7 linked regions of the Macaca fascicularis genome follow. Each later gene encodes a partner of the first gene's protein in a complex. Links are inferred from orthologs where the notes say so. Each region holds a gene or a part of one and is shown in the gene's direction. Other genes may lie near its edges.

Region 1 (3,570 bases):
TCACAGAATTGAAGTCATTTATTATCGGCCCAGGTGTGTTTTTGTCAGTCACTTCCCTAGAGGGAACGATGAAGGGCTACACTCATGGTATGTCTCGGTCTACTTCCTGCCTAAGGTGTCTGTGCTGGTGATGTGTCACACTCGGGAGTTGGCTTTTCAGATCAGCAAGGAATATGAGCGCTTCTCTAAATACATGCCCAATGTCAAGGTAAGCCGAGGTAAAGAGACCTCAGAGTGAGGGTGTGGCAAGTTGGAGGGATAAGAAACTTGTAGGCCAGTAGTCTCTTTAATTTTGGAGAAGTTTTAGTTTGCCATGGTTTAACAGTGTTAAGATCCTATGTAACGGGAGGATTCGTAATTGGGCTATGGATGATGCTTAACCGAGACCACCCTTTTTTTACTACTTTATACTGACTTTGAATCCTATCAGTTTGGTAATTTTGGGGTGTGTGGCAGAGAAAGCCAGAAACTTTAAAACAGCTTCAGGGGTGTGTGAATATTGAGGATTCTGGCCAAGTGCGCAGCGGCTTACACCTGTAATCTCAGCACTTTGGGAGGCCAAGGCATGTGGATCATTTGAGGTCAGGAGTTCGAGACCAGTGTGGCCAATGCGATGAAACCCTGTCTCTACTAAAAATGCAAAAATTAGCCGGGCGTGGTGGCACACACCTGTAGTCCTACCTACTTGGGAGGCTGAGGCAGGAGAATCGCTTGAACCCAGGAAGCAGAGGTTATAGTGAGCTGAGATTGTGCCACTACACTCCAGCCTGGGTGACAGAGTGAGACTCCCATCTCAAAAAAAAAAATCTGATTGAAGTTAAGCATTTTTGGCAATTATCCTTCATAGGTGATGCTGTATCTCCTGTTGTGCCAGAAATCGGGTTGACTTATGTTAGTTATTTTTATTTTTATTTATTTGTTTTGAGATGGAGTCTTGCTGCGTCCCCTGGGCTGTGAGTGTAGTGGTGCGATCTCAGCTCACTGCAGCCTGCACCTCCCAGGTTCAAGCGATTCTCCTGCTTCAACCTGCTGAGTGGCTGGGACTACAGTGTGCCATCATACCCGGCTAATTTTTTTTTTTTTTTTTTGGTAGTGACAGGGTTTCGCCATGTTGGCCAGGCTGGTCTCGAACTCCTGACCTCAAGTGATCCACCCACCTCGGCCTCCCAAAGTGCTGGGATTACAGGTGTGAGCCACTGTGCCTGGCCTCATTAGTGATTTTAGGTTTACCATAGGATTAGCATCGTGACAGTCTGATTCCATGGTCATTCTTTTCCCCCTTAAAACTAGAGTTTCTGGTGTTATTTGACACTGTACCAAGGCCCAGATCCCTAACCAACTATTCACCTAATGGTTTTAACATGAAGTGATAATATTTCACCCAAAGCAGTAATTTCATGGGGTTTGTATGAAGGAGTTTGAGATTCTGGGTTTATTTAGGAAAACTTAATGTTCCATGTGTTTTTTTGTGGTACTTTATACTAATCCTGGTAATTTCTTGCCGTCCTTTATTTATTTATTTTTTATTTTTTGAGATGGAGTCTCGCTCTGTCATCTAGCCTGGAGTACAATGGCTCAATCTCGCCTCACTGCAATCTCCACTTCCTGCATTCAAGCGATTCTCCTTCCTCAGCCTCCTGGCTAAGTTTTGTAGTTTTTGTATTTTAGTAGTAAATTTGTAAATATTGTATTTTAGAAGAGATGGGGTTTCACCATGTTGGCCAGGCTGGTCTTGAACGCCTGGCTTCAAGTGATCCACCTGCCTCGACTTCCCAAACTGCTGGGATTACAGGCGTGAACCACCGGGCCTGGCTTTATTTTATTTATTTATTTATTTATTTAGAGACGGAATATCACTCTTGTTGCCCAGGCTGGAGTACAATGGTGAGATCTTGGTTCACCGCAACCTCTGCCTCCCGAGTAGCTGGAGTTATAGGCGTGCGCCACCACACCTGACTCCTTTATTTTTAAAATGAGGCTTGGCCTCATAAATGAAGGAAGATGGTTAGATTAAGTCAGAAGAACTGAATTATTGTCCTGACTGCTCCGACTAGCTATGTAACTTTAGGCAGTCACCCTCAGTGTTTGGTGGGGGGACATAACATTTCTAAATTAGGTGACCTCTAGAGTTAGTTTTAGTTTTGAAACATGCTAAAAATTGGTTTAGCTCAAACAGTGGGAACTCTGGGGGGATTGGACTCTTTCCTTCCTCTTTTTTGAGACTCTTTGCTCCTGGCTCTCGGCAGGTTGCTGTTTTTTTTGGTGGTCTGTCTATCAAGAAGGATGAAGAGGTGCTGAAGAAGAACTGCCCGCATATCGTCGTGGGGACTCCAGGCCGTATCCTAGCCCTGGCTCGAAATAAGAGCCTCAACCTCAAACACATTAAACACTTTATTTTGGATGAATGTGATAAGATGCTTGAACAGCTCGGTGAGTGGCAGTGCTGGGACTTGGCTAATGCTGGGGAGTTGTTCTTTGGAGCCAAATGATGTTTATTTGAAACAGGAGCGCCTCAGTGCAAGGACGACTCTTATCTATCACCCATGACTGATGGCTCTGGGTTCCCTGGTTGGGCTTTATTATGCTTTTAAGCACAGTAAAGGATGTCATCTATCATCTTTCTATGATTTTTGTTTTTAATCTTTGAGAATAGGGGACTTCGGTAATTTCAGGCCTAAGTTATCACCACCACCACCGTTTTCATTATAGATTCCTATACTGGAAGTCATAGGGGAGATTCTAAACTGAAAGAGAAGACAGTACCCTTCTGGCATCTCCAGCACAGCATTTACAGTCAGAATTTATAGCTGAATAAGTTTCTAGACTCAGGTCTGGGATTAATGTAGAGAGGGTAGCAGTTCGTGTGGTGTGGTATTCTAGTGTGCCAAGTGGGGTTAATGGAAGTTTTTTCTGTAAGATTTGAATCTTGGTGAATGAGTGTGGGGTTGGACATAGGCCCCATAAGTCATTACAAATGGTCTTCGGCAATTCAGTGTGGTGAGTTATAAAGGTGGGCTCCAGGTAGCAATGTCATATTTGCCTGAGTTGATAGAAAAGTGATCCAGAGAGTCATAGATGGACTCTGCTACCTGGAATGTAATATATGGTTGATACTTGTAGTCTCCTGAGGGCTGGCTGGGGCTTGGACAGGAAAGGATTGGGAGAAGGGCCTGTAAAGCATGTTTCGAAGGCCTTGAGAGCGTCTGCACTGGGCTTTGTCCCCGTTTTATAGTTGGGAACTTTGGGGTTTTATCTTATTTCTTGCTTGGTTAAAACGAACAGCTGGAATCTGATCCCAATTCTTGATTCCAAGTCCATTGCTTTTTCCGTTGTGTTATTACTATTTCCAGCAATCTTCACCTCACTGGAAAGTCTACCTCTAATCTTTGTTTATCATACTTGCTTATTTTCTCCTACAATTTTTTTCCTTGTTCTTGTAGACATGCGTCGGGATGTCCAGGAAATTTTTCGCATGACCCCCCACGAGAAGCAGGTCATGATGTTCAGTGCTACCTTGAGCAAAGAGATCCGTCCAGTCTGCCGCAAGTTCATGCAAGATGTAAATACCCT
Region 2 (3,570 bases), on another chromosome or scaffold:
TAATGTTTTCTTCTCTTGGCGTCCATGAGAATCCAAATCCATGGTTCTTCTGTTTGCCCTTTGCCCTCGCTGCCCACTCCACCTCACATTCCATTTCAGCCTCCTCATCCTCTGCCTAACTCAAATGTTGGAGTAACATCAGGACTCAGTCTTAGCCTCTTTATCTAGAACCTTCTGGGTGACACCACAGTCTCATGGCTTTCAATAGGAATCGAAGAGTAGTGGTTTAAAGGCAAGAGGCCTCTTGTCAGAATGCATAGGTTCCAGTCCCCTCTACCACTTACTTATTAGACTAAGGCTAATTTAATAATTGAATCGCCATCCTCCCTTTCCTCATCTGTTAAATACTAACAGTACCCATTTCACAGGGTTATTCTGAGGATTAAATAAGACAGTTCACTTTCAACCATACAGGGCATGTCGTTAGCACTCAATATTCGTTACTAGTGTGACCCTGTGCCCAGAGTTGTTAATTACTGTGACCTCTGTGACCTCTTCACTGTTTTCTCTAGCAGTGGTCAGTGCTCCATGTATCAGCCAGTGATCTTTAAAATAACTGTCCAAGTCTGATCTGCTTAAAATCTTCCAGTTAGTGCCTGTTCCAAAGTCCCTCCCAGGGTCTAAAAACCTCCTTGGTCTGGCTTATACTGTCCTGTGTAGCTATGCCTTCCCTCTGCTCTAACCACAGCAGGCCTGGTGCTCTTCACTTCAAACGTCTTTCCCTTTCCGGTCAGGACCTTCACACTTGACTGTCTCACTTGCTTGAACCACTTTTCCCCCAAGGTTCCCATGGCTTTAAGTCCCCCTGGAAGCTCTTCCCCTCCCTGGTCTCCTCTGTTGCATTCTCGTGGTTTTTATTTCATGGCACTTACCACTATCCAAATGAGAAGGTGGCACTCACCACCTTCTCATTTCTCGTTTTCCTCATCCTTATGAAATTATCTTATACCTTGTGTGTTTATCACTAGCGATGCCTGCCAACACATTCTGCATTACTGTGCCTCAGGTACTCTCCACAGCTACTGAGTGCCTGGCTCAAGTGTTTGTCAATTGAAAGAATATTTATCACTGTTACGTAAGACTAGATGGACTCATTCCTAAAGTGATAGTTCAAATTATTATCTCCAAAGAGGGTTTTGTGGAGAATAAGAAAAATGATATATATAATTGACAGTGAATTTTGAACATGCCTAAAATAATCAAATCGTTTAAACAGAGGTATGTCAGAGAGGAAGGCTCTTAACTGTTCGGGCAAAGCCTCACAGCAGGTGTTGACTTGGGAAGAGTCCTCAATGTCTAGGGGTAGTTTTTGTTAAGTCTTCAGTGGTACCTGCACATCCTAAAGGTAACACACGCTCATTTATAAGAGATGACCAAATAAACCAAATTGCTATTCTTAGGGGAGGGAGAGACTTCCAATCCAAAACTCTTAAATGGAATAAATTGGTGGTTTGGTTTCTTCTGCAGCATTGCGTATTTCTGGAGCATTATCTTTAGAATTTCTCTGCAGTTTCTGTTTCTCACCTGATTGTATACCACCTTGATCATTGTTATACTTCATTAGGGAACAGTTCATGGATTCCGAATAGCCAGATGGATGATTCCTGTTGTACACATACTGCATCTAGCCAGTACTGCACACACTTGTTGACTTGTTAAAATTAAACAAAATGTATGAACTTTGAAAACGTGTTTGCTCATATGAGCCTGCCTCTTCAGACATTGTTGGTTCCTGTTATTAGTTATGTGTGTATCTGTTGATTTGTTATTATCAGTGGACAACATCCCGAAAAGTTCTTGAGGAATAAGATTCCAATCAAAAGAATGGTACTTTGAGCTATTTACCTTAAATATAGAATTGCACGTGGCAGAACTAAGCAGAAGGGAATACAGAAATACAAAACTATGAATTACAAGCCTGACATCTCTTTTTATAGGGCTGTGAACAATTCAAATTATGGTTGGAGAGCCCTGAGACTATTAGCACGGAGAAGCCCTCACTTCTTCCAGCCAACCAACCAGCAGTTTAAAAGTTTACCAGAATATCTTGAAAACATGGTAATAAAGCTAGCCAAGGAATTACCGGTAAGTACCATAGATCAACTTTTCATGCCCTTTAGTTGACATCATCTTTAAAACTGCTATCACTATGTGAGCAAAAAACTGACTTAATCATGTGAAAAACCAGTGGTCCACAAGCTCCCATGTTTTAGAATGAGGGAAAAACACACTGGAATATACATTTACAGGAAATACATGAGTTGATAAAGAAGTAACTGATAATTTTCTGTACAGCATGTAATTTAACTAAGGTTCAACAGGGCTGGGCGCGGTGGCTCACGCCTGTAATCCCGGCACTTTGGGAGGCCTAGGCAGGCAGATCATGAGGTCAGGAGATTGAGACCATCCTGGCCAACATGGTGAAACCCCATCTCTACTAAAATATAAAAAATTAGCCAGGCGTGGTGGCAGGTGCCTGTAGTCCCAGCTGCTGAAGAGGCTGAGGCAAGGGAATTGCTTGAACCCAGGAGGCAGAGGTTGCAGTGAGCCAAGATTGTGCCACTGCCCTCCAGCCTGGCGACAGAGCAAGACTCCATCTCAAAAAAGTATATAAAATTCATGGTACTTTAGGTAAACTGTTATGCACCTATACACACAGACAGGAATTTTTTCCTGTTTGCCAATGCAGTATATTGTCTTTTATCAAAGGTAAAAGATAAGAATCAGAAACTTTTAAGGACACTGTTGCTACTGGCTTCCTTGAGGCCATCTTTACTAAACCCTGGGTATTTGCAAATCCTGGAACTGTGCTTTTCACGGCCTTCCTGCTTCCCAGATTGGGGGTGGGGAGTCTTTCCAACTCTGGGGTCTTACCAAGTTCACTCCTTCTGCATGTGAAGACAGTCCCACTTAGGATCCTTACCTGACACTGTCTAACGCTCTCAGGGGTGAGGTTCTGGCACCCTGTACTTGGAATCTCACAATCATCTTTATCTAAACAAAGTACTTGTTACCGTACTTCAGAGGCTGGCATTCTTTCAAACATTCTTCTTTCTCATTTTTAGCCTCCTTCTGAAGAAATAAAAACAGGTGAGGATGAAGATGAGGAAGATAATGATGCTTTACTGAAGGAAAATGAAAGTAAGAATTTAATTTTCTTGGTTATTTAACAAAATTGAAGAAGATTGGGGTTCTTTGTTGATAGGTACATTATTTAATCGGCTTCTCAACTTCTCCCATTTTATCTCAACTGTTTCTGACTTACAGTGAGGAATGTAAAACATTGCTTAATAATAACTTTAAAAATACTACATTTTATGCAATAAAATTGGGGAGTAATGATACTTTAAAAGGGAAGGAAAATACATTTGAAGGTGACCCATACCTTTGTTAATTATTGGTTACTGGAAGGGGAGCAGTTCATTTCAGGGAAAGCCTACATAATTTTAACAGAGGTAACAGCTTTAGCTTTGATTATTGACCATGCTTATTAAGAGTGGTATTCAGCTTATGGAGAATATAAAAAATAATTGTTTGCTTTTAAAATAAAGTCTACTAAAGGTGGTTAAT
Region 3 (3,570 bases), on another chromosome or scaffold:
TTCATAGCCTTGATTATTTGTGTTTTATACTTCATTAGATTGTTCTTCCGATGCATTAGAAGTAAGGCAGAGGGGAAACGCTGGTGTGGAAGTATTCCATGGCAGGTAGGAATTATTCATCTGTTTTCAAACCTGTTGTGTTAAGACTTTTAATATGCAGCATCACCTGAAAGTACCTTGAAGTTCACATAAACGAGTTGGTCTTCATCAGACTGTCCTGAAAGATAGTTTTCTTTAAGCAAGGTAGGCCCTGTTGGGACTTTAATTCAAAGGAACATTTGGTTGTAATCAAGATTAATTATTTGCATCCTATTCACTTAGTAAATATAAATATTTACTAATACAAATATTTATTTGAGGTCTTAAATGCAGTCAGCATTCTTTTACTTAAGAAAAAAAATAGATTTCCTTGACTAACTCTTGTATCTTTTTATAGAGGAATTTCTACTTGATATTGGTATAAGCTCCTAGAATGTTCGAACTAGGAGGAGCGTCTCCTCTGAATAGGAGAAGGCCTATAGATATTCAGTACATAAGGAACTAGAACCAGGGAGATGATAAGACTTGTTTTGGCAGAGGTATGGCTTGAACTTACGATTCTATATTACCACAGTAAAATCTTCCTAAAGCCAAAATCAAAGCAAGTGTTTTAAGACAATTAGGTTTGGGGAAAAGTTCATCTTTTTTTTTTTTTTTTTTTAAATTGAGACGGAGTCTCGCTCTGTCGCCTAGGCTGGAGTGCAGTGGCGCAATCTCGGCTCACTGCAAACTCCGCCTCCCGGGTTCATGCCATTCTCCTGCCTCAGCCTCCTCAGTAGCTGGGACTACAGGCGCCCACCACCACGCCCGGCTAACTTTTTGTATTTTTAGTAGAGACGGGGTTTCACTGTGGTCTCGATCTCCTGACCTTGTGATCCGCCCGCCTCGGCCTTCCAAAGTGCTGGGATTACAGGCGTGAGCCACCACGCCCGGCCGTAGTTCATCTGAAGAGAACAGTTTTTTTCTGAAAAGTATACACTGTGGCCATTGTGATTGTAAAAGCACTTTGGTTTGTCACTACTTTTCCTTGAGGTCTGGAAAAGTGTGATCATGGACAGAGAAGGAATGAAGCATTGAAAGTACCGTGAAGAAATGAGTCTTTTGTGGGTCTGGCATGTCATCTTTTCTAGACGTGGAAATGGTATCAAGAATGTTCAGGAAATATTGGACTGCTTTTACTGTGTTTCCATTTCTTCTGCAGAATAATCCTAAGTGAATTAACGCAGGAACAGAAAACCAAATATCATATATTCTCACTTACAAACAGGAGCTAAACATTGAGCACCCATAAACATAGGAACAATAGATACTGTGAACTACTGGAGAGGGGAGGAGGGCATGGGTTAAGAAACTCTTGGGCACTATGCTCACTGCCTGAGTGCGATATACTCATATAACAAAGCTGCATGTGTGCCCCCTGTATATAAAATAAAAGATGAGATGAAAAGGAAAGGCATTCTAGATAGGACATTTGCATTAATATTTTATATGAAGATTAATTATTTTGTCTTTAGGATCCTGATTCCAAAGAACATTCTGTCCCCAATAAGTCTCAGCATGCATCTGAGACATTTCATCATTCTTCCAGCCGGCTGAGAAATCCATTCAAGGTACTTGACAAGAATCAAGAACCAGCTCTCTGGAAACAGCTCATCAAAGGTGAAGGTGAGGAAAAGATGGCTGATAAGAAGCAAAGAGAAAAGGGAGATCAGCTTTTCAATCAAAAGAAGGAACAGAAGCCTGAATCGATGGAGAAAGATCTCTCATCTGGCCTGGTACCAAAGGAAAAACAACCTGTAGTTCAAGAGAAGCAGCAAGAGGAGAGAGCAGAGATTCAGTGTGAGGCAGAGGAGACTGGAGGCACTCACAAAAGAGACTTTTCTGAAGTTAAATCTCAACAGTGCCAAGGTAATGAGCTTACAAGACCATCTGCATCTTCTCAGGAGAAATCAAGTGGTAAGAATCAAGATGTCCAAAGAGAATCAGAACCTCTGAGAGAAAAGGATACCCAGCTTTTGCCTCAAAACGTTCACAGTCACAGCTCAATAAGCAAGCCCCAGAAAGGGGGACCCCTCAACAAGGGGTACAAGAACTGGGAGGCTAAAGAAACAAAGGCAAAGGATGGCCCTAGCACACAGGCCACGCAGAAAAGCCTGCCTCGGGGGCATTTCCAAGAGCGGCCGGAGACCCACGGTGTGCCTGCTCCTGGAGGACCAGTGGCTCAGGCTGCACCAGCAGCACCAGGGCTTTCCCTGGGTGAGGGCCATGAAGCTGCCACAAGCAGTGACGATGAGGAGGAAGATGATGTTGTTTTTGTTTCCTCTAAGCCTGGGAGCCCCCTACTCTTTGACTCGACTCTGGACTTACAGACGAAGGAGAACCTCCAATTCCCTGATCGAAGTGTGCAAAGAAAAGTATCTCCGGCCTCAGGTGTTTCCAAGAAGGTGGAGCCCTCAGACCCAGCAGCCCACCGTGTCTACCTTACAACACAACTGAAACAAAAGAAGGTAACTGTTGACTCGTGTTTTGTTTTTGAGGTCAGAGCATTGCTTGCTATGGGCAGATATGAGATCTCATTGCTGCAGAAGGGTTAAATATGTTCATATTGAAGGTTTTATAGGTGTGTGTTTAGTTTCTGCCTTTTCCCCTATTTATATTTTCAAGATTGGTAAGCCAGCTGGGTTAAAATTTTAAAAAGGTTCTGGTTTTTACACACATATTTAAAAGAGCATAATTTCAGAGTTTGGGCGTTTCAGGCTATTTTAATCTGAAACTATTCATCTAACAGTGTGAAAAGAGAGATCCATTTGATGGAATCTGTTTTGCAGAGCACACTGGCATCAGTGAACATCCAGGCTCTTCCAGACAAGGGTCAGAAGTTGATCAAACAAATCCAGGAGCTGGAGGAAGCGCTCAGTGGTCTTGCCCTTTCCCCAGAGCAAGGTAAAGTGGCTTATGCCTCAGAACTCCGGGTTTGCGTGGACTTTACAAGAGACATTTGGAAGCCCTTTTAATAAAGAATGTGTTGATTCATTCACTTTTCCATTGTATTATCTGCTTCTGAGCCTTCTTTCACATTACACCTATGGTTCATAAAAAACCTTTCTCCTATTTCCTGTGGACTCTACTTTCTTCCCCCATTGTTTAAGCAACTGTTAAAATGCTACATTCTCTAGGAATCCTTCACTGGAATGGTGATGATCCCTCTCTCTTGACCTCACCTCCACACATACGATCCCTTCACTTAGTTTGCTGAACTTTATTCTGCTCTTCCCTTGTTTTCTGAGCAGGAACTAATGAGAAGAGTAACAGTCAAGCGCCACAGCAGAGTCACTTCACCGAAACTACCACTGACCCTCCCCACCTGGTGCCTCCCCAACCCCTTCCTGGTTGTGGTACCCAACCCGTGGGTTCTCTAGAACTAAAGTCTGCCTGCCAGGTGACTGCTGGAGGATCCAGTCAGTGTTATCAAGGTAAGACCCAAGGGCCTGGCCCTGCTGTGAATAGCCACCCCTGTGAGTTACGTGCCAC
Region 4 (4,242 bases), on another chromosome or scaffold:
TCTTGGGGGTGGGATGCCTCCCTTCCCATGCTCCCACCCCTCCCATCCCAGAGCTCCGTTGGGCTCAGTGTCCTCTGTTGAGGGAAGGTCTTGGTGCCCAGATGCCTGGTCTGCAGGAGAGGGAGGAACCTTGTCCCTTTGCAGGAGTCGCTGGTCTCTTCTGTTGTGGGGAAGAAGGAAGGTGGGAGGGGCAGTCCACCAGCACTCAGAGCTCCGTTATGTCTCCAGCTGGGGTTGCAGGGTAGGGGGGACTGGGGGTGTCCCCCAGCCTCAGCAGACGGAGGGCCTCGGGGATGAGGCTGCCAGGGTAGCGCCAGAGAAGCAGCTCAGAGCAAGGGCTTCTAGAAGAAGAAATGACTGTCAGGGCATGGGGCTAAGGCTGGCCTAGCTGAGCACCTCCCACCAGGTCCAGGTCCCCAGGGACTCCTGGGTTCCCAGCACTTTCCGAAGAGCGAAGATGAGAAACAACCCAGAGGTCAGCTAGAGCTAAAAATGGCACGATGAGGCAGGGCCTGAGGTCAGCTGCGAGGACCGCCTGTGATTCTGCAGAAGGCCTGGCCAGTGGAGGAGCCTACCTGAGTGGGGGCAGGGCTTGGGGGAAGGCCATGGGGGGGCTGCAGTAGGGGTGGTCATTGTGCAGGCTGAGTTGAGAGAAGTGGGTGGCCATGTTCTCCTCAGACAGAAAATGCTTGCGCAGAGGCTCCCTGGGGAGAGATGGGAGAGAGGCAGGCTGGGATATTGAGACAGGAGGCAGCCTGTTGGGGACCAGAGGTGACAGAGCTCTCGTTGGGAGTCCCTCCCTGCCCCCAAACTCACTGCTCCTCCTCCAGGCGCCGCTTGGTGCTCATGGGCACAGCTCCTCGGAGAGGGGAGCTGGGGAAAAAAGAGAGCCTGGTGCACCCCACCCTCTTGGCCCCTTCCCAAGGATATGCCTGCCTGAGCCTGCAGCATCAGCCAGGAGCCCCAAGCCCATTACTGTCTCAGCTGGTGCTGGTCCCCCCTCTCCTGGGCCATCCAGCAGCGTACTTCGGAAGTCTGGACCCTGAACTGCAGCCCCAATACCATCTCAGCTCACGCCTAAGCCCCACCGATTCGCCCCACCCCGTGTTCATCCTGCAGACCAGCCCTGAGCACCCAGCCAAAGCTCCTGCGGCCCTTGGTCAGGCCCACCCTGGTCCCCCACACGCACCTGGCGTCCAGGCCCCGAGTCACCCCCAAGGCGGCCCGCGGGAGGCGCTGGGCCCCACCCTGGGGGCCTCGCTCCAAGGGCTGCTGAAGGATCATTGGGTTTTGGGGTCCTGCGGGTGGGATCTGGGCGACAGGGGAGGAGTCTCTGAGGGCGTGGCCCAGCGAGGATGGGCGTGGCTTTAGGCGGGCACAGCGGCGAGGTTCTGCGCGGGCGCCGAAGAAGGGCGGCGCGTGGCGGAAGGCAGGCTTGCTCCTCGGGGTGGGGGAGGGTATCCGGCTTAGCGGGGCTGCGGTGGACACCACTTCTTAATGTCGGGGGTCTTCGCGGCGCTCACCTCGGCTCCTGGGGTTCAGGACGGTACGCAGCAGCCCCCTTCGCGCCGAAGGCAGTAGGGCGCCACGGAGAGGAACCGCTGTAGGCACGTAAGGCCTCGTGAAGTTGCGTCGCACGCGAAGCACTCTGGGACTTGTAGTTCTGGAGATGGAGCGAGCTGTGCCGCTCGCGGTACCGCTGGGTCAGGTGAGACGGACGTGGGGCGCGTTGCCTTCTGGGATTTGTAGTCCATTCATGGCTGGGACGGGGCGGGCAGGGAATTGTGCCCTTTGAGTCCTATTTTGCCTGGGCTATTTGTGGAACTCAGACGCTGACCGGGGGGCGGGAGAGTAACCCAGAAGTGCCTCAGGGGCTTAACGCAAGTCAGAGAGTAGGGATTATAAATCAGTACGTTTTTCTATGTTGGGGTAGTAGAGCCACCCCTATTTTTTTTTTTAATTTTCTAGTTCCTGCAAAGCACTTTTTTTTTTTTTGAGACGGAGTCTCACTCTGTCAACTAGGCTAGAGTGTAGTGGCACGATCTCAGCTCACTGCAACTTCCGCCTCCTGGGTTCAAGCGATTCTCCTGCCTCAGTTTCCTGAGTAGCTGGGACTACAGGCGTGTGCCACCATGCCCAGCTAATTTTGTGTTTTTAGTAGATACAGGGTTTCACCGTGTTGACCAGGCTGGTCTCGAACTCCTGACCTCAGGTGATCCTCCCGCCTCAGCCTCCCAAAGTGCTGGGATTACAGGTGTGAGTCACCATGCCTGGCCACATTTTTTTTTTTTTTTTTTGAGACAGAGTCTTGCTCTGTGCCCCAGGCTGGAGTGCAGTGGCGCGATCTCGGCTCACTGCAAGCTCCACTCCCCCGGGTTCACGCCATTCTCCTGCCTCAGCCTCCCGAGTAGCTGGGACTACAGGCGCCCACCACCTCGCCCGGCTAATTTTCTTGTATTTTTAGTAGAGACGGGGTTTCACCGTGTTAGCCAGGATGGTCTCGATCTCCTGACCTCGTGATCCGCCCGTCTCGGCCTCCCAAAGTGCTGGGATTACAGGCTTGAGCCACCGCGCCCGGCCATTTTTTTTTTTGAGATGAAGTTTCACTCTTGTTGCCCAGGCTGGAGTGCAATGGCTCCATCTTGGTTCACCACAGCCTCCGCCTCCCAGATTCAAGCAGTTCTCCTGCCTCAGTCTCCCAAGTAGCTGAGATTACAGGCATGCGCCACCACTCCCAGCTCATTTTGTATTTTTATTTTTTTTTATTTTTTTTATTTTTTTTATTTTTTATTTATTTTTTTTTTTTTTTGAGACGGAGTCTCGCTGTGTCTCCCAGGCTGGAGTGCAGTGGCGTGATCTCGGCTCACTGCAAGCTCCGCCTCCCGGGTTCACGCCATTCTCCCGCCTCAGCCTCCCAAGTAGCTGAGACTACAGGCGCCCGCCACCACGCCCGGCTAGTTTTTTGTATTTTTAGTAGAGACGGGGTTTCACCATGTTAGCCAGGATAGTCTCGATCTCCTGACCTCGTGATCCACCCGCCTCGGCCTCCCAAAGTGCTGGGATTACAGGCTTGAGCCACCGCGCCCGGCCTCATTTTGTATTTTTAGTAGAGATGGGTTTCTCCATGTTGGTCAGGCTGGTCTGGAACTCCAGACCTCAGGTGATCCGCCCACCTCGGCCTCCCAAAGTGCTGGGATTACAGGCGTGAGCCACTGCGCCCGGCCCCACATTTTTAAATTTTTTGTTGAGACGGAGTCTCACTATTTTGACCAGGCTGCTCTCGAACTCCTGGCCTCCCCAAGCAGTGGATGACAGGCATGAGCCACCACACCCGGCTTCAGCACTGAGTGACAGCCCCATGGAAAGCTCTTGTCTATACACTAGCTCATCTAATGGTGATGGAATCTTCTGTGAGCTCCACTTGACAGTTGAGGAAGCTGGTAGGAGAGTGCTGGGTGCTTGCTCAGAGGTCCCTGAGGCATCACCTCGACTCGCCCCTTCTTCAGTGTCTTCTTGGAGCCGCCCATGGGACTGCATGGGCAAGTGCTGGCTTGGGGCCGGGCCGCCTCAAAAGAGGGCTGAGAAGTCAGGACAGTGGGAAGCCTGGCAGGTGTTGGGGGAAGCAGGAAGGAGTCTGTGGCTGGGAGGTTTCATACATCCCAGGCAGGCCTCATCCAGTTCTTCCCTGCAGACAGAGGTGTTCCAGGCCTTGCAGCGGCTCCATATGACCATCTTCTCCCAGAGTGTCTCACCGTGTGGGAAGTTTCTGGCGGCTGGCAACAATTATGGGCAGATTGCCATCTTCAGGTACCCTCTGCCGCTGTCCACCCATTAGCCCTGGCACTTGGCCCTCATGGGACGGATGTCCCTGTTTCTGACTCCTGGGTCCCCTCCGCTGTCCCCTGCAGCTTGTCCGCTGCTTTGAGCTCCGAAGCCAAAGAGGAAAGTAAGAAGCCGGTGGTGACTTTCCAAGGTGGGTATAGCTGTGGAGTCTGGCTTCGGGACTTTGGGTGGAATTGGTCAACTCAGTTCTGCATTTCTCTTTAGCCCATGATGGGCCTGTCTATAGCATGGTCTCCACCGATCGACATCTGCTTAGTGCTGGGGATGGGGAGGTGAAGGCCTGGCTTTGGGCGGAGATGCTCAAGAAGGTAAGGAGTTGAGCTCGGGAAAGGGCTGGGGTGCCGGGACCCAGAGAGAGCCTTTGAGGTCAACTGGTATTTTCCCTTTTGAAGGGGTGTA
Region 5 (4,174 bases), on another chromosome or scaffold:
TGGGGAGCGGGGGTCCCGCGGCGGCGGCGCGGCGCGGCTCAGGCGTCGGAGCAGGCGGCCGCGGGCGCCGCCGCCTCCTCCTCCATGGCTGTTTACCCGGCTGCATTGTGGGAGTTTGACCTCCGCCGCCGCCAACCGCCGCCTCAGCTTGCGCCGCCGCCGCCGCCGCGCACGCCATGGGAGCCGTGACTGACGGTGAGGCCCCGCTCACCGCCACCCGCGCCGGCTGCACAGCCTGTTCGGCCTCCCCGGAGACCCCTGGCCTCCCAGCCCGCTTCCGGGAACCCCTCGGCCTGCCCCGGCCGCTTCGCCCGAGCGCTTCGGCCTTCCAGACCCCTCCCCGAAGCCCCGGGCCTCCCCGGCTGCTTCCCTGAGTCCTTCCTCTCGCCAGAGGCCGAGCGCCCCTCGGAGCCCCTCGGCCTCCCCCGCCCGCTCTCCCGAAGGCAGCGCGGGGCTGTAGGGTGTGCCGGGAGCGTGGTCGGTGGGCTGGGAACACACGTGGGTGGCCGAGACGGCTAGAAGCGGTGCAAGGGCGGGTGGGACCGGAGGGAGTCCGGGTTTGTCTAGGGGCGCGGTGAGGGCCCAGGAGCCGCGAATGGTGGGCGGTGGTGCCGGGCTTGGGGCTGGGGGCCTGGAAGGTTTCTGGAGGACTAGGAGGGAGTGGGAGCTCCAGGGATGGAACGGGAGTTTCGGGACTCGTCTACAAGGGATGTCAGAATACGGAGCGTGACACCTGGAGGGGTCCTGGGGCATATTGGGAAGGACTCACAGACAATGGAGTCGATGGCAATGAGGCCTTGAACTGCGAGTGGATTGTGGGTGAGGAGAGGGAGCAGGGAATTATTTATAAAAGGAATACAGAGGGATGAGGTATCCGGAGGGTAATGAGGAAGTGTACCTGGGAGATTTACGGGGGGTAAGGAGGAGCCAGTATAGTGATGAGAAACCATCTAGGGTAGGTCAGGAGGATAGAAGATGTATATGTGTTTGTTGGGGAGGGTGATTTGTCAGCTGGAATGGATTTAGAGGGGCAAAGACTGGGTTTGTGGACTGTCTAAGGGAGATGGTCTATGGAGTGAGAGCAGAAATAAGGTGACACTTTGGGGAAAGGGGAAGGGGCATGATCGGCAACTGGAGGGAGAACCTACAAGTTATCTGATTAGGGAGGAAGAAGGTCCTTTGATATCTGGGAAGGGGAGATCTAGGGCTTTTGGGTGTTTTTCAGGAGAGGGTGACCAGTAACTAAATGCCTGTGGAGAGGCCACTTCTGAAGAGTTGAAGACCACCAGGGTCTCCACATTAAAGGGCCTGGCCATGGGAAGAACAGTGATAGGCCCAAATTTGCAGACTGGTAAAGAGTAGTGGAGGTGGAAGACTACTAAAGACCCAGGAACTTCATGTAGAATTTCAGCTTTGCTTCATTCCAGTTTCATTTATTTAGTGGACATTTATCCTTCCTGGACTAGGCTTTGGGATTACAACCCAGAACCAACAAGCAAGAACTTTTCCCTCTCCAAAATTTCGGTCGGAAGGGAAAGAAACATTGACTAATGAGTTTTAAGAGTGACAAATATTACCACAAGGAAGTACAAGGTTGGTAACTGTAGGAACATGTAACAAAGATTATCCAATCAATGGAAATGAGAAAGCTTCCCCAAAAAAGATAATCCCATTTTTGAAGAATAAATAGATGTTGGACTGGTGTTCTGGGTTGGTAGCCACTTGTACAAAGGCCCCAAGATGTTGGAAGAACTCAAAGTTGACAGTTATTGCTAGAATTTAGAAAGTTATGAGCCAGAGAGTTCTAAGGGCAATGGGAAGCCATTAAAAGTTTTAACATTGGTGTTGTGCTAATCAGATTGGCATTAACACACACACATGGCCGGGCACAGTGGCTCACGCCTGTAATCCCAGCGCTTTGGGAGGCCAAGGCAGGTGGACCTCTTGAGCTCAGAAGTTCAAGACCAGCCTGGGCAACATAATGAGACCCCATGTCTACAAATACAAAAAAATTGGTCTGGCACAGTGGCACACACCTGTGGTCCCAGAACTTGGGAGGCTGACAAGAGAGAATCACTTGAGCCTGGGAGGTCGAGGCTGAAGTGAACCACGATCGCATCAGTGCACTCCAGTCTGGGTGACAGAGTGAGACCCTGTCTCAAAAAAAAAAAAAAACAAAACCGCATACACACTGTCTCTGTTATGTGCAGAATGATTAGAGGAAGAGAAAGTGAGGAGCTAAGTTTCCTTACCACTTACTAACGTTTACATGGTGCTGTCAGGTAATATTCTAATTGTTGTCCCCATTTTACAGATGAAACAGACACAGGTTAGCTTGCCCAAGGTTGCACAGATAGTAAGTCATAGAGGGTCAAAGGCAGGGAGACCACCTGCGGAGTTCCCGCTCTTCACTATTATGCCTCCTGTGTCTCCTATTTCTGCAGTGGCCCTGGTGAGAGACAATGAGGACTGTGACCAAGAGGGAATGCAGAGAAGAGGACAGGTGGGAGGGAAATTTGTGAGGCAGAATGTCAGAACTTCGGGTATTGAATGAATGCGGGGAGAAGGGGTTTAGGATGATCCCAGGTTTTTGACTTCACTGTGTGCCTGTTAGCACTACTTTTCTATTTATTGAGATAGAGATGTCCAAAGGAGCGATAGGCTTTGTCAGATGGGAGATAGGGACAGAAGATGAGTTCTGAAGTACTGACTGCAGTAGAGTGCCCCACCACATCCTTAGAGTCCACAGGAATCTCTACCCTGCCACTTACAGACTGTCTCAGCTTCGGTCTCTGAATGGAGATAATAATAAAATCTGTGTCAGCGGATTGTTTTGAGGATTAAACACAAAAAGTTGTAAAGGGCTTTGCATTGAGTCCAACACATAATAATTAATGTTCAGTAAATATTATTAAATGTCAGAGTAGTTTTACTAATCTGTCTTCCACTTTCCTTTGATGTGGACTGTGCCTTCTCTCTTAATCTGCACAGGTTGCCTTTTCCTGCCTTTTCTATCAGGTGACACTCCACTTTTTCCTCAAGACCCAACTCAAAAATCCCCTCTTTCCTGGAAGTAGTTGACCCTCTGCCTATTAGCCATGTTATTTTATGCATATTGCTGCTGTCACCCTTAATACTTTATTTATATGCCTTATGCTAGAAAAGATTTAAGGCAGTTCACCGTAATGAGAAAATGTACAAATTAAATGGATTAGAAAACAAGACAAAAAGAACACTGAAATTAGGAAAAATAAAGGGAAGTCAGAAGTGGGGTGATCCTCAAAATGCAGAAGGATAAAGTCTAGTACATTAATTAACCAAGCTGTAAGTGACCTGTTTCTCTAATAGGCCATGCCGAGAGGCAGTACTTCATCTACTCTGTGGTCTAGTGTTCATGAAAGAAGGCAATCTTAGATGCCCAGGAAAAGCACTTTTTTTTTTCTGATTTGAACTAGAGGAAAAGTTTGTCATTGAGGTCCTTATAAATGAAAGCCAGTGTCATATCCTTAACCTCTTTTCAGCACTGAAGATCACAGAGCTGTTTTGTAGCACATCCCTTGCTAGGTAAAAGAAGGTTAAATCACAATTAGAAAGATTCTAAAGCCAATAGAGGCTGGGTGTGGTAGCTCACACCTGTAATCAATCTTAGCACTTTGGGAGGCTAAGGCAGGAGGATCACTTGAGCCCAGGAGTTTGCAACCAGCCTAAGCAACACAGCGAGACCTCATCTCTACTACAAAATTTTTCAAATTAGCCAGGCGTGTGTGGTGGTGTGCACCTGTGTCTCAGCTACTCGTCTCTACTAAAAATTTTTAAAAATTATCCAGGTGGAGTGGCACACACCTGTAGGTAGTCTCAGCTACTCAGGAGGCTGAGGCGGGAGGGTCACTTGAGCCCAGGAGTTTGAGATTGCAACCAGCCGTGATTGCACCACTGCACTCCAGCCTGTCAACAGCACTAAACCCTGTCTAAATAAAACCAATGGACAATTTGGTTTAGGTGGGTAGTGGGTAGCTCTGCTAATCTGGCTTGATTCAAAGCAAGGTTTTTTGATTGAATATCTAGACCATAAGGGAAAGACAAACTACAACTTCTTCAGACAATCCTCTATAAACATGGTTTTTATCAGCTCAGCTTTTGAAAAAATCAAGCTGAAATGAGTGGTATGTGTGAT
Region 6 (4,362 bases), on another chromosome or scaffold:
TCGGGAAACGCTGGGGTGGGTACAAGGCCGCGGTTTAGTGCTCACCAGGTTATGGATGACGTTGGTCAGGGTCCAGACAACAGGAATGCTGAAGAAGGGGATGCTGAGTAGAACCACATGCAGCAGTCCTACCAAGATGATGTAGGCCAGCCAGATGCCTCGGCTATTCATCACTCGAGTGTTGGGGTTTACTTCGCTGTGCGCCACCCCCACATTCATCCTAGCCATAATGGGGGATCAGGCAGGAGTCCAACTCAGTTTTTTCTCAACCCCTCTTTGAGCTTTCTCCCAGTTGTCTCTCAGATAGCCCCAATTCCCTGAACTCTATTGGGAATGAAGAACTTACCCATCACGCAGAAAATAAAAACTGAAAACTTGGGGAAAACTTTAAAAGACAAGAAGAGTCCTCACTACATTTTAGAGACACAGTCATTTTTGCTCTGATCTTTACACTTCAACTGTAACATGAAGGTGTACGTAGACTTGGGGCACTCCCTTCAGTGAGCGAGGGAAATAGGAGTATCTGACTTTCCTGAAGAAGTTAATAACCATAAAGAGGTCACGCACACCCAGTATTCCAGGAGAAAGTCATGGAATCATCAAAGAACCACTAAGAAGGGATGACAGAGTAAAGCTCACTCTGGTCCCCACTTTGTTCTCTGGGGCTTGTCCACCCTCTCTCACACCTCCGTGGCATGTAAGCAGTCAGCATCCCCATTACTTCTCTCAAGCGGGGGGCACGACAACAACTTGCCCACGGCTTCTGGACTGGGTTCGGAAGGGACCTGAGCTCAACGCCTGGAGAGATGGAGCCTTGGCTCTGACTCCAGGGGCGGCAGTGATTATCTGAACTCGGTTCTTTAAAATTGTGGTAGCCCTTAAGCTGATGATGTCTGGTTAGGAAGCGGCTGTTGCCCGCCCCAGCCCCACCGCCAGTTCCTTAAGCCCGCCCCATGCCCCTCCCAGCTTCCTCCTCACGTTCGTCGGTATTTTCAGGGCTCCCTTCAGCGCTCCCCTCTCAATATTTAGGTCACCGCTTCCTCGGCGCCCCTTTCCTCGCCCACCATTTTTCCTCAGCAACCCTTACGGTCTTTGCAGCCCTACCTGCCAGCTCAGATCCCCGTCCCGGCTATGGGCGCAGCGCCGGCTACCACACCTGAAGTCTCCAGGAAGTAACGCCTCCCCGTCTGCCCCTTTCCTATTGGAGGAACACAATCAGCGCTGCCACCACCCATTGGTTGGTGATCTGTAATGCAGATGCACAGTTGGTTGCCATTTCTGTCGTTCGCAAGATACAGTGCCCGCCCCTTTCCCTGTTCCACCTTTTGAAAGAGGTGGGGAAAGCTGCCTAGAGAAGTGAGAACGACGTCAGCTATTGACCAATGGGAAGAGTTGATGGTATGGCGTGGGAGCAAGAGTGACAACGATTGGTCGGTCTTGCATCTCTACGCCTAAGGCGGGAGCTCCTGGAGGCGGAGGCAGCGGGTGGGGGCCTAGTGGAGTGAGGGGTAACAAGATGGCGACCGAAACGGTGGAGCTCCATAAGCTGAAGGTACAGTGAATCGGGGAAGGGCTGAGTTGGACTTTTCTAGGAACTGAATTCTACAGGGTAGCTTGCGCCTTCTCCTACGTGTTGTCTTTGCAGCCTTTTCCACTTCGTTTTTCGGCTCCCACTGTAGCTCTTTTGTGCCACCCTTCCACACTACGCCTTCCCTAATTTCCCATTTCTCCTCACGGTTTTACTGCTATATTTATTTATTTCTGCTCCTTTCATCGTTGTATCGTCCGTCATCCTTCCCCATCGGGTTGTGTAAGTGCCTTTTACCTGTTATACTCCTCGTTGCTTTTCAGGGCTGCATTACGTCAGTTCGTCCCTCCTTTTTGCCCCATGTCCGACCCAGGATCCGTTTTTCTTCCCTGGGATGATGTTTCCAGTCTGTCGTCCGAAGCTGAGATTCGCCTGTTAGCAAATGGTGGCATTTTTTTATATTTCTCTCTAAATAGGTCCCAGACACTCAGAAAATACTTCCACTCCCCTTTTCTAGGTGGGATTATGCCCCCAGGCCGAATTTTGAAACCAGGGAGAGGCCTCTCAGAAAAGATCGGTCTCGCCTTAGAAGCCTGGGATTGAGGAGACCTTGAGAATAGTAAAAGTACAGACACCTCTGATTTAAAAGTTTTCGAGTTCTCTCACGCGGCTCTCGGCCCGCCGGCCTTCCTCACGCACCATCTCCTACCACCAGAGAGAACTCATACCTGCAATATTTGGGAAAAACAGTTCCAAGGTTAAGATTATCTCTTTTCCATTTCATATCTCGGATGGGCCCTGCATCTCCTGGTGTTACCATTGGCTGACACTGAATCACAGAAGCTGTTTTAAATTGTCTTGTGAGAATCTTGGTAGTTTTCTCACACCTAGATATATAAAAACGTTAAAAATATATTAAAAAGCAGAAAACTTTAAAAAATATTTTCTTTTAGGGTAAATTAAGATAATCTTGATTGTGGTTTCACAAGTAGTTTTCTCATTACATGTTTTGGACAAACCAGGCTGATATAGCTGAAACTGAAAAGTGATCCTTTAAAGTTTGAAGAGTTTTTTGTTTTGTTTTGTTTTGTTTTTTGTTGTTGTTGTTTAAGAAAGCTTAAGGGTAGTAAGGGTAGGGAGAGGACCCTTCTTTAGTCACTTATTAGTTGACCCCAATTAGTCTTTCTGCGAAAGCTAGTGTTTTCTTACTCTTGGATTCTAAACTCTATTAGTGGATTTTTGTGTTATTCTGGAGTTATTGTTAACTTGATGGTACCGAAATGCATAGATTATATCAGTGGTCTCCTGATATTGTGATGAGTAAAAAAAAAAAAAAATTGAGCAATCATCTCCACTTTGTGTATATATACTGTACTTATAGAAATTGTATACTTCCATACTGTTATAAAACATACACAGAAAAGGAATTTTTGAATGAGATAAAAAGGAACTGTGAATAGAAGAGCTAATATTTTCTTCCTATTTGTCCTATTTTTGAAATCCCTGGAGTAAGTCACCAGCTGCCCGATGACTTACTTACATTTATAGATTGTGTTGGTTTATGGAGTTCCTCCTTCCATCAAATCTGTATTTGTCAGGTCTATATTAAATTTGTATTTGATTGGATAAGTAACTTTTACATAAAGTCCTCTGACCTGGTTTTAGTGTTACAGTCTAAGAGAACATTAGGCACTCTTGACAGCCTAAAAAGAACTCGCTCTTTAATCACATTTGCTTGTCTTTGCTTTTTCTCTAGAGCACTTCTTAACCTTTTGGAGGTCACAGATATCTTTGAAACTCTGATGAAAGGTATGGACCCTCTCCCCAGAAAAAGGCATGTACACATATTTTGCATGCAGTTTGAGGGGCTTCATAAAACTACCTTGTAGCCCTGAGGAGTCCATGGACCTCTGGTTAAGAACTCATGCCTTTGGCTGGGCGTGGTGGCTCACACCTGTAATCCTAGCACTTTGGGAGGCCGAGGTGGGCGGATTGCTTGAGGCCAGGAGTTCGAGACCAGCCTGGGCAACATGGCGAAACCCTGCCTCTACCAAAAATGCGAAAATTAGCCAGGTGTGATGGCAAGTGCCTATAGTCCCAGCTACTGAGGAGGCTGAGGCACAAGACTCGCTTGAGACCGGGATGGAGGTTGCACTGAGCCGAGGTGGTGCACTGCACTCCAGCCTGGGAGACAGTGAGACTCCATCTCAAAAAGAAAAAAAGAACTCATGCCTTTGATTCTGATTTTTAGGGCAGTTAGTTCCACTGGCGATCTTGATGCAATGATCCTGACTTCTGGGTTGACTTGGGGTTTTATTGCCTTTGAAAAAAATCTTGGCTGGGCCCAGTGACCCACACCTCTAATCCCAACTCTTTGGGAGGCGGAGGCCAGGAGTTTGAGACCAGCTTAGGCAACATAGTGACACCCTGTCTCTACAAAAAATTAAAAAATTAGCTGGGCATGGTGGCGCACACCTGTAGTCCCAGCTCCTCAAGAGGCTGAGGTGGGAGGATTGCTTGAGCCTGGAAGGCCAAGGCTGCGGTGAGCTGTGTGATAATTGCTCCACTGCACTTCAGCCTGGGTGACAAAGGGAGACCTTGTCTCAAAAAAAAAAAAAAAAGAAAAAAATATCTCCATTGTCATAAAGAGATTTTGGGCTTTGGTATGGAACTTCAGGGGAAGGGAATACCTTTGAAGCAGGAAGGAAACATAGTATGTATCTGAGTTGATATGTAATGTCATATCAACAGCAAATTTCTGAGGATTTTGTAGAAATGCATTTTTTTTTTTTTTTTTTTTTTTAAATTGAGATGGAGTCTTGCTCTGTCACCCA
Region 7 (4,246 bases), on another chromosome or scaffold:
CCGTCTCTACTAAAAAATACAAAAAAATAGCCAGGCGAGGTGGTGGGTGCCTGTAGTCCCAGCTACTCCGGAGGCTGAGGCAGGAGAATGGCGTAAACCCGGGAGGCGGAGCTTGCAGTGAGCTGAGATCCGGCCACTGCACTCCAGCCTGGGCGACAGCGCGAGACTCCGTCTCAAAAAAAAAAAGAAAGAAAAAAAAAAAAAAGCAAAATCCCTTATTGAGGCCGGGCATGGTGGCTCACGACTGTAGTCCCAGCACTTTGAGACACAGAGGTGGGCAGATCACTCGAGGTCAGGAGTTAGCGACCAGCCTGGTGAAATCTCATCTCTACTAAAAATACAAAAATTAGCAGGGCGTGGTGGCACGCGCCTGTAATTCCAGCCACTCAGGAGGCTGAAGCAGGAGAATCGCTTGAACCTGGGAGGCGGAGGTTGCAGTGAGCCGAGATGGTACCACTACACTCCAGCCTGGGTGATAGAGCGAGACTCCATCTGCAAAAAGAAAAAAAAGAAAGAAAGAAAGAAAGAAAAATCCCTTAATTGAGCAGGACACATAGTTCATGCCTATAATCCTAGGACTCGGGAGGCTGAGGTGAGAGGATCACCTGAGCCCAGGAGGTCAAGGCTGCAGTGATCCGTGATTGCGCCACTGACTCCAGCTTGGACAACAGAGCCAGACCCCGTCTCAAAACAACAACAACAACAAATCAAAAAGCGAGAAAAGAGAAATCCCTATGTAGGTCTGCCACAAAATAAACACGGATGGCAGGTGTGGAGGGAGGACATGGAAGCGCAATCGAGGACGCAAAGGTGCACCCCCCGCAAGAAGGATTAAACAGTATTTAGGCCAAGTTGGGAAGGGGAGGAAGTGAAGAGGAAAACATGGACGGGCGGTGGTGTTGGCCAGCGCAGGATGGGAGAGGAATGTGCTCCCAATACTGGGCCTTGGCGGGAGCATTTACGGCACTTTACAACTCTCAGACTGGGCGACTGGCCATGAGGGGAAAACCAGTGCAAATTCCCCAGGCCCAGTTGTCCGGAAGAAGACGAGGCAAGTCCGCGTAAAGATTTTTAGACGATGTACCTTGCCTAAGGAACAGAGGGGCAAGGGAATTCGGAACCCAAATCCCCTCTAAGACCCTGATTACTAACTAGTAACCCAGGAGGTTGCAGCTTAACCACTACGGGAACTTGAAGTCCCGGCACGCCCCGATAGGGCCATTGTCACGCCCCCAGGGGGCGGGGCACTGCTTATACCGCTAAGGTAAAGTTTGCTGAAGTTCACCCTAAGGCTCCGCCTCTGATCCCTGCGCAGGCGGAGCTCAAATCTTTCACGCCCTCTAGTCGTGAGCGGATCTGACGCCTGACGTAATGGCGTAGACGCCATTTTAGCCGGTCCCACAAGCACTGCATGTGGCGGCCATTTTGTTTTGGACACCGAGCCGGAGCTGGCGGCCGCTGCAGACGAAAGGCAAGAAAGGGCAGGCCGGGTGAGCAGACGGATCGGCCGGCTAGACAGCCAACCAGCAACAACGAACTGAGCTCGCATACTACCGCTTACGCATCTGACCAACCGCCCATCTAGCTAACCCGAGCCCCTCCACCGTCAACTCAGGTTCGGCCGGTCCCCGGCCCGCCTGCCGGAGCCGTGGTGGCAGCCCCGGGAGGAGCACTGGCGTCTGTTTCCTTCGGTGAGTTTCTGTAGGGAGAAGGAGCGGGGTGGCGGGGTCTTGGAGAGCGGAAGGGGCTGGCGGACGCGGAAAGGGGGTGGTGGCATGTGGACACAGCTACGGTGTTGGAGCGTGGAGGCCCGGGGGAGGAGGCGGAGCCCCTGCGAAGGGGCGGGGGAGGGGCTGAACTGGAACCTGGTGGCGGGACTGATGGAGGTTGGGGTTTGATAGGGATTAAAAGGAAACTTGGGTTGAGCAAAAGTGGAAGTCTTGATAGGGCTTTGAGGATGGTAGGGAGATTAAGAAATACAAGACTTTGAGGAATGTTGGAAATTAATGGCGGCTTTAGGGTTAAGTTTTGTGGAGGGCTCTTTGCGAGCTCATTCCCCAGGTGAATTTAGAAAACCTTTCCTACGCACTCCCCGAGATCATTAGTTTATTGTTACAAAAGTCTCTACTTGATTCTGGAGTTGAAAGCCAATTTTTAAACTAGGCTTTTTTTTTTTTTTTTTTTTTTTGAGACGGAGTGTCGCTCTTTTTGCCCAGGCTGGAGTGCAGTGGCACGATCTCAGCTCACCACAGCTTCCGCCTCCCGAGTTCAAGCGATTCTCCTGCCTCAGACTCCCGAGTAGCTGGGATTACAGCCATGCGCCACTACGCCCAGCTAATTTTGTATATTTAGTAAAGACGGGGTTTCTCCATGATGGTCAGGCTGGTCTCGAACCCCCAACCTCAGGTGATCCGCCCGTCTCGGCCTCCCAGAGTGCTGGGAAAACTGGCGTGAGCCACCGCGCCCGGCCCTGCCTATATTTTCACTCTAGATCAGTAGTTTTCAACTTTAACTGCACGCTAGAAGCACCTAGGTAGCTTTCCCTCCACCCCACAATTGTTCATTTCCAAACCTCGTTACTAGAGATTGTGGTTTAATTGATCTAGGCCCAGATATCTGTATTTTTTATTTTTTTAATTAATTTATATTTTTATGGAAACGGGGTCTTGCCATGTCGCCCAGGCTGGTCTTGAGCTCTAGGGCTCGAGCATTCCGCCCACCTTGGCCTCCCAAGGTGCTGAGATTACAGGCGTGAGCCACCGCGCCCTTTGAAAGCTCCTTGGATAAGTCATATGTAGTCAAGATTGAAAATGACTGCTCTAGAGAAAAAGCCAAACTCGACCGGGCGCGGTGGCTCACGCCTGTAATCCCAGCACTTTGGGAGGCCCAGGTGGGTGGATCGGGTGAGGTCAGGAGCTCAAGACCACCCTAGCCTACGTGGAGAAACCCCGTCTCTACTAAAAATACAAAAACAATTCGCCGGGCGTGGTGGCACATGCCTGTAGTCCCAGCTACTCAGGAGGCTGAAGCAGGAGAATCGGTTGCACCAGGAGGCAGAGGTTGCAGTGAACCGAGATCGCACCACTGCACTCCAGCTTGGGCGAGAGAGTGAGATTCCGTCTCAAAAAAAAAAAAAAAAAAAGGCCAGACTCCATACTTTGATTGCTAAATTGGGTTCTGCCGTTTTTGAGAATTTCCTGGGTATTTTCTGGGCCTTGGAGTTTGTTTGGGGTTGGTTGGTTGTTTTAAAGAGTTGGGGTCTCTCTCAGGCTGGAGTGCAGTGGCGTCATCACAGCTCTTTGCAGCCTCCAACCCCTGGGCTGTAGCACTTCTCCCACATCAGCTCCCCCTGAGTAGCTAGGACCACAGGTGCTGGCCACCATGCACTATTTATTTATTTATTTTCTTAGTAGAGACTCGGTCTCACTTTGTTACCCAAGCTGATCTCTAACTCCTGGCTTCAAACCATCCTGTGCCCTCACCCTCCCAAAGTGTTAGGATTACAGGTGGTGAACCACCACGCCCAGCCACCTTGAAGTTACAGTAATGTGAGGTAACTGCCATAGAAATTTAAGCACTTTTGCACTTTTGCTGGGCATGACACCTCATGTCTGTGATCCCAGCACTGGGAGGCCAAGGTGGGAACATCCTTTGAGGCCAGGAGATTACAGCTGCCGTGAGCCACTGCAGCCAAGATCATGCCACTGCATTCCAGCCTGAGTGACAGAGTAAGACCCTCTCTCAAAAAAAAAAAAAAAAGAAAAAGAAATTTAAGCACTTGAAATGTGCCCTCATGTGCTCTTAAGTCATCAGTGATAAGGCCTTTTTATTTATTGTTGACTTGGGCCTTGCCACTTATAGAAATGATGTGGTCACTATTGTGATTTGCTCATTTTACGTATTGTCCTTTGTAGATTCTCGGGATTTGAAGATGGCTGCACAGTCAGCGCCGAAAGTTGTGCTAAAAAGCACCACCAAGATGTCTCTAAATGAGCGGTGAGGCAGCCAACAGCAACTTCAGCTCCTTCCTAAGAAAACATTACTTAACTTGGCCCTGGGGTCCAGTGCACAAAGCCAGTTTTAAGCTAAATACCAACAGAAGGCTACAGACCTCTGTTCTTAGTTGCATCTCATGTGGTACACAAAACAAATTGGGCGGTTGTTTCAAAACCCCTTATCAGTAGACTTTTATGTTAAGCTGTCTGAAATATTTATTTGGTGGGATGTATTTTAAAAGACTCCTAAC

What was found.
Region 2: DDX39B (region 1) and THOC1 share a complex: the UniProt entries of both Homo sapiens proteins name them as parts of the transcription/export (TREX) complex. The link is inferred for Macaca fascicularis from reciprocal best matches to the Homo sapiens genes DDX39B and THOC1.
Region 3: DDX39B (region 1) and TTF2 share a complex: the UniProt entries of both Homo sapiens proteins name them as parts of the spliceosome. The link is inferred for Macaca fascicularis from reciprocal best matches to the Homo sapiens genes DDX39B and TTF2.
Region 4: DDX39B (region 1) and THOC6 share a complex: the UniProt entries of both Homo sapiens proteins name them as parts of the transcription/export (TREX) complex. The link is inferred for Macaca fascicularis from reciprocal best matches to the Homo sapiens genes DDX39B and THOC6.
Region 5: DDX39B (region 1) and THOC7 share a complex: the UniProt entries of both Homo sapiens proteins name them as parts of the transcription/export (TREX) complex. The link is inferred for Macaca fascicularis from reciprocal best matches to the Homo sapiens genes DDX39B and THOC7.
Region 6: DDX39B (region 1) and SARNP share a complex: the UniProt entries of both Homo sapiens proteins name them as parts of the transcription/export (TREX) complex. The link is inferred for Macaca fascicularis from reciprocal best matches to the Homo sapiens genes DDX39B and SARNP.
Region 7: DDX39B (region 1) and CHTOP share a complex: the UniProt entries of both Homo sapiens proteins name them as parts of the transcription/export (TREX) complex. The link is inferred for Macaca fascicularis from reciprocal best matches to the Homo sapiens genes DDX39B and CHTOP.

Annotation. Positions count from the first base shown.
Region 1 is NC_088378.1:140,193,202-140,196,771, forward strand, and holds part of DDX39B (spliceosome RNA helicase DDX39B), read left to right. Parts: intron 1-115; coding exon 116-208; intron 209-2,246; coding exon 2,247-2,430; intron 2,431-2,480; exon of another isoform or gene 2,481-2,556; intron 2,557-3,440; coding exon 3,441-3,559; exon of another isoform or gene 3,560-3,570. UniProt on the Homo sapiens protein: Involved in nuclear export of spliced and unspliced mRNA. Component of the TREX complex which is thought to couple mRNA transcription, processing and nuclear export, and specifically associates with spliced mRNA and not with unspliced pre-mRNA.
Region 2 is NC_088392.1:68,899,264-68,902,833, reverse strand, and holds part of THOC1 (THO complex subunit 1), read left to right. Parts: intron 1-1,937; coding exon 1,938-2,085; intron 2,086-3,065; coding exon 3,066-3,141; intron 3,142-3,570. UniProt on the Homo sapiens protein: Component of the THO subcomplex of the TREX complex which is thought to couple mRNA transcription, processing and nuclear export, and which specifically associates with spliced mRNA and not with unspliced pre-mRNA.
Region 3 is NC_088375.1:117,327,077-117,330,646, reverse strand, and holds part of TTF2 (transcription termination factor 2), read left to right. Parts: intron 1-38; coding exon 39-105; intron 106-1,553; coding exon 1,554-2,546; intron 2,547-2,867; coding exon 2,868-2,982; intron 2,983-3,329; coding exon 3,330-3,512; intron 3,513-3,570. UniProt on the Homo sapiens protein: DsDNA-dependent ATPase which acts as a transcription termination factor by coupling ATP hydrolysis with removal of RNA polymerase II from the DNA template. May contribute to mitotic transcription repression. May also be involved in pre-mRNA splicing.
Region 4 is NC_088394.1:3,820,446-3,824,687, forward strand, and holds the start of THOC6 (THO complex subunit 6), read left to right. Parts: upstream 1-1,385; 5' UTR 1,386-1,669; coding exon 1,670-1,708; intron 1,709-3,273; exon of another isoform or gene 3,274-3,543; intron 3,544-3,691; coding exon 3,692-3,807; intron 3,808-3,908; coding exon 3,909-3,973; intron 3,974-4,047; coding exon 4,048-4,151; intron 4,152-4,235; coding exon 4,236-4,242. Other genes in the region: HCFC1R1 (host cell factor C1 regulator 1), read right to left, coding at 206-341, 576-704, 817-873, 1,190-1,284. UniProt on the Homo sapiens protein: Component of the THO subcomplex of the TREX complex which is thought to couple mRNA transcription, processing and nuclear export, and which specifically associates with spliced mRNA and not with unspliced pre-mRNA.
Region 5 is NC_088376.1:126,941,368-126,945,541, reverse strand, and holds the start of THOC7 (THO complex subunit 7), read left to right. Parts: upstream 1-1,368; 5' UTR 1,369-1,550; coding exon 1,551-1,593; intron 1,594-4,174. UniProt on the Homo sapiens protein: Component of the THO subcomplex of the TREX complex which is thought to couple mRNA transcription, processing and nuclear export, and which specifically associates with spliced mRNA and not with unspliced pre-mRNA.
Region 6 is NC_088385.1:62,604,783-62,609,144, reverse strand, and holds the start of SARNP (SAP domain-containing ribonucleoprotein), read left to right. Parts: upstream 1-1,495; 5' UTR 1,496-1,516; coding exon 1,517-1,552; intron 1,553-3,284; exon of another isoform or gene 3,285-3,337; intron 3,338-4,362. Other genes in the region: ORMDL2 (ORM1-like protein 2), read right to left, coding at 46-219. UniProt on the Homo sapiens protein: Binds both single-stranded and double-stranded DNA with higher affinity for the single-stranded form. Specifically binds to scaffold/matrix attachment region DNA. Also binds single-stranded RNA. Enhances RNA unwinding activity of DDX39A.
Region 7 is NC_088375.1:107,531,564-107,535,809, reverse strand, and holds the start of CHTOP (chromatin target of PRMT1 protein), read left to right. Parts: upstream 1-1,427; 5' UTR 1,428-1,691; intron 1,692-3,914; 5' UTR 3,915-3,931; coding exon 3,932-3,996; intron 3,997-4,246. UniProt on the Homo sapiens protein: Plays an important role in the ligand-dependent activation of estrogen receptor target genes. May play a role in the silencing of fetal globin genes.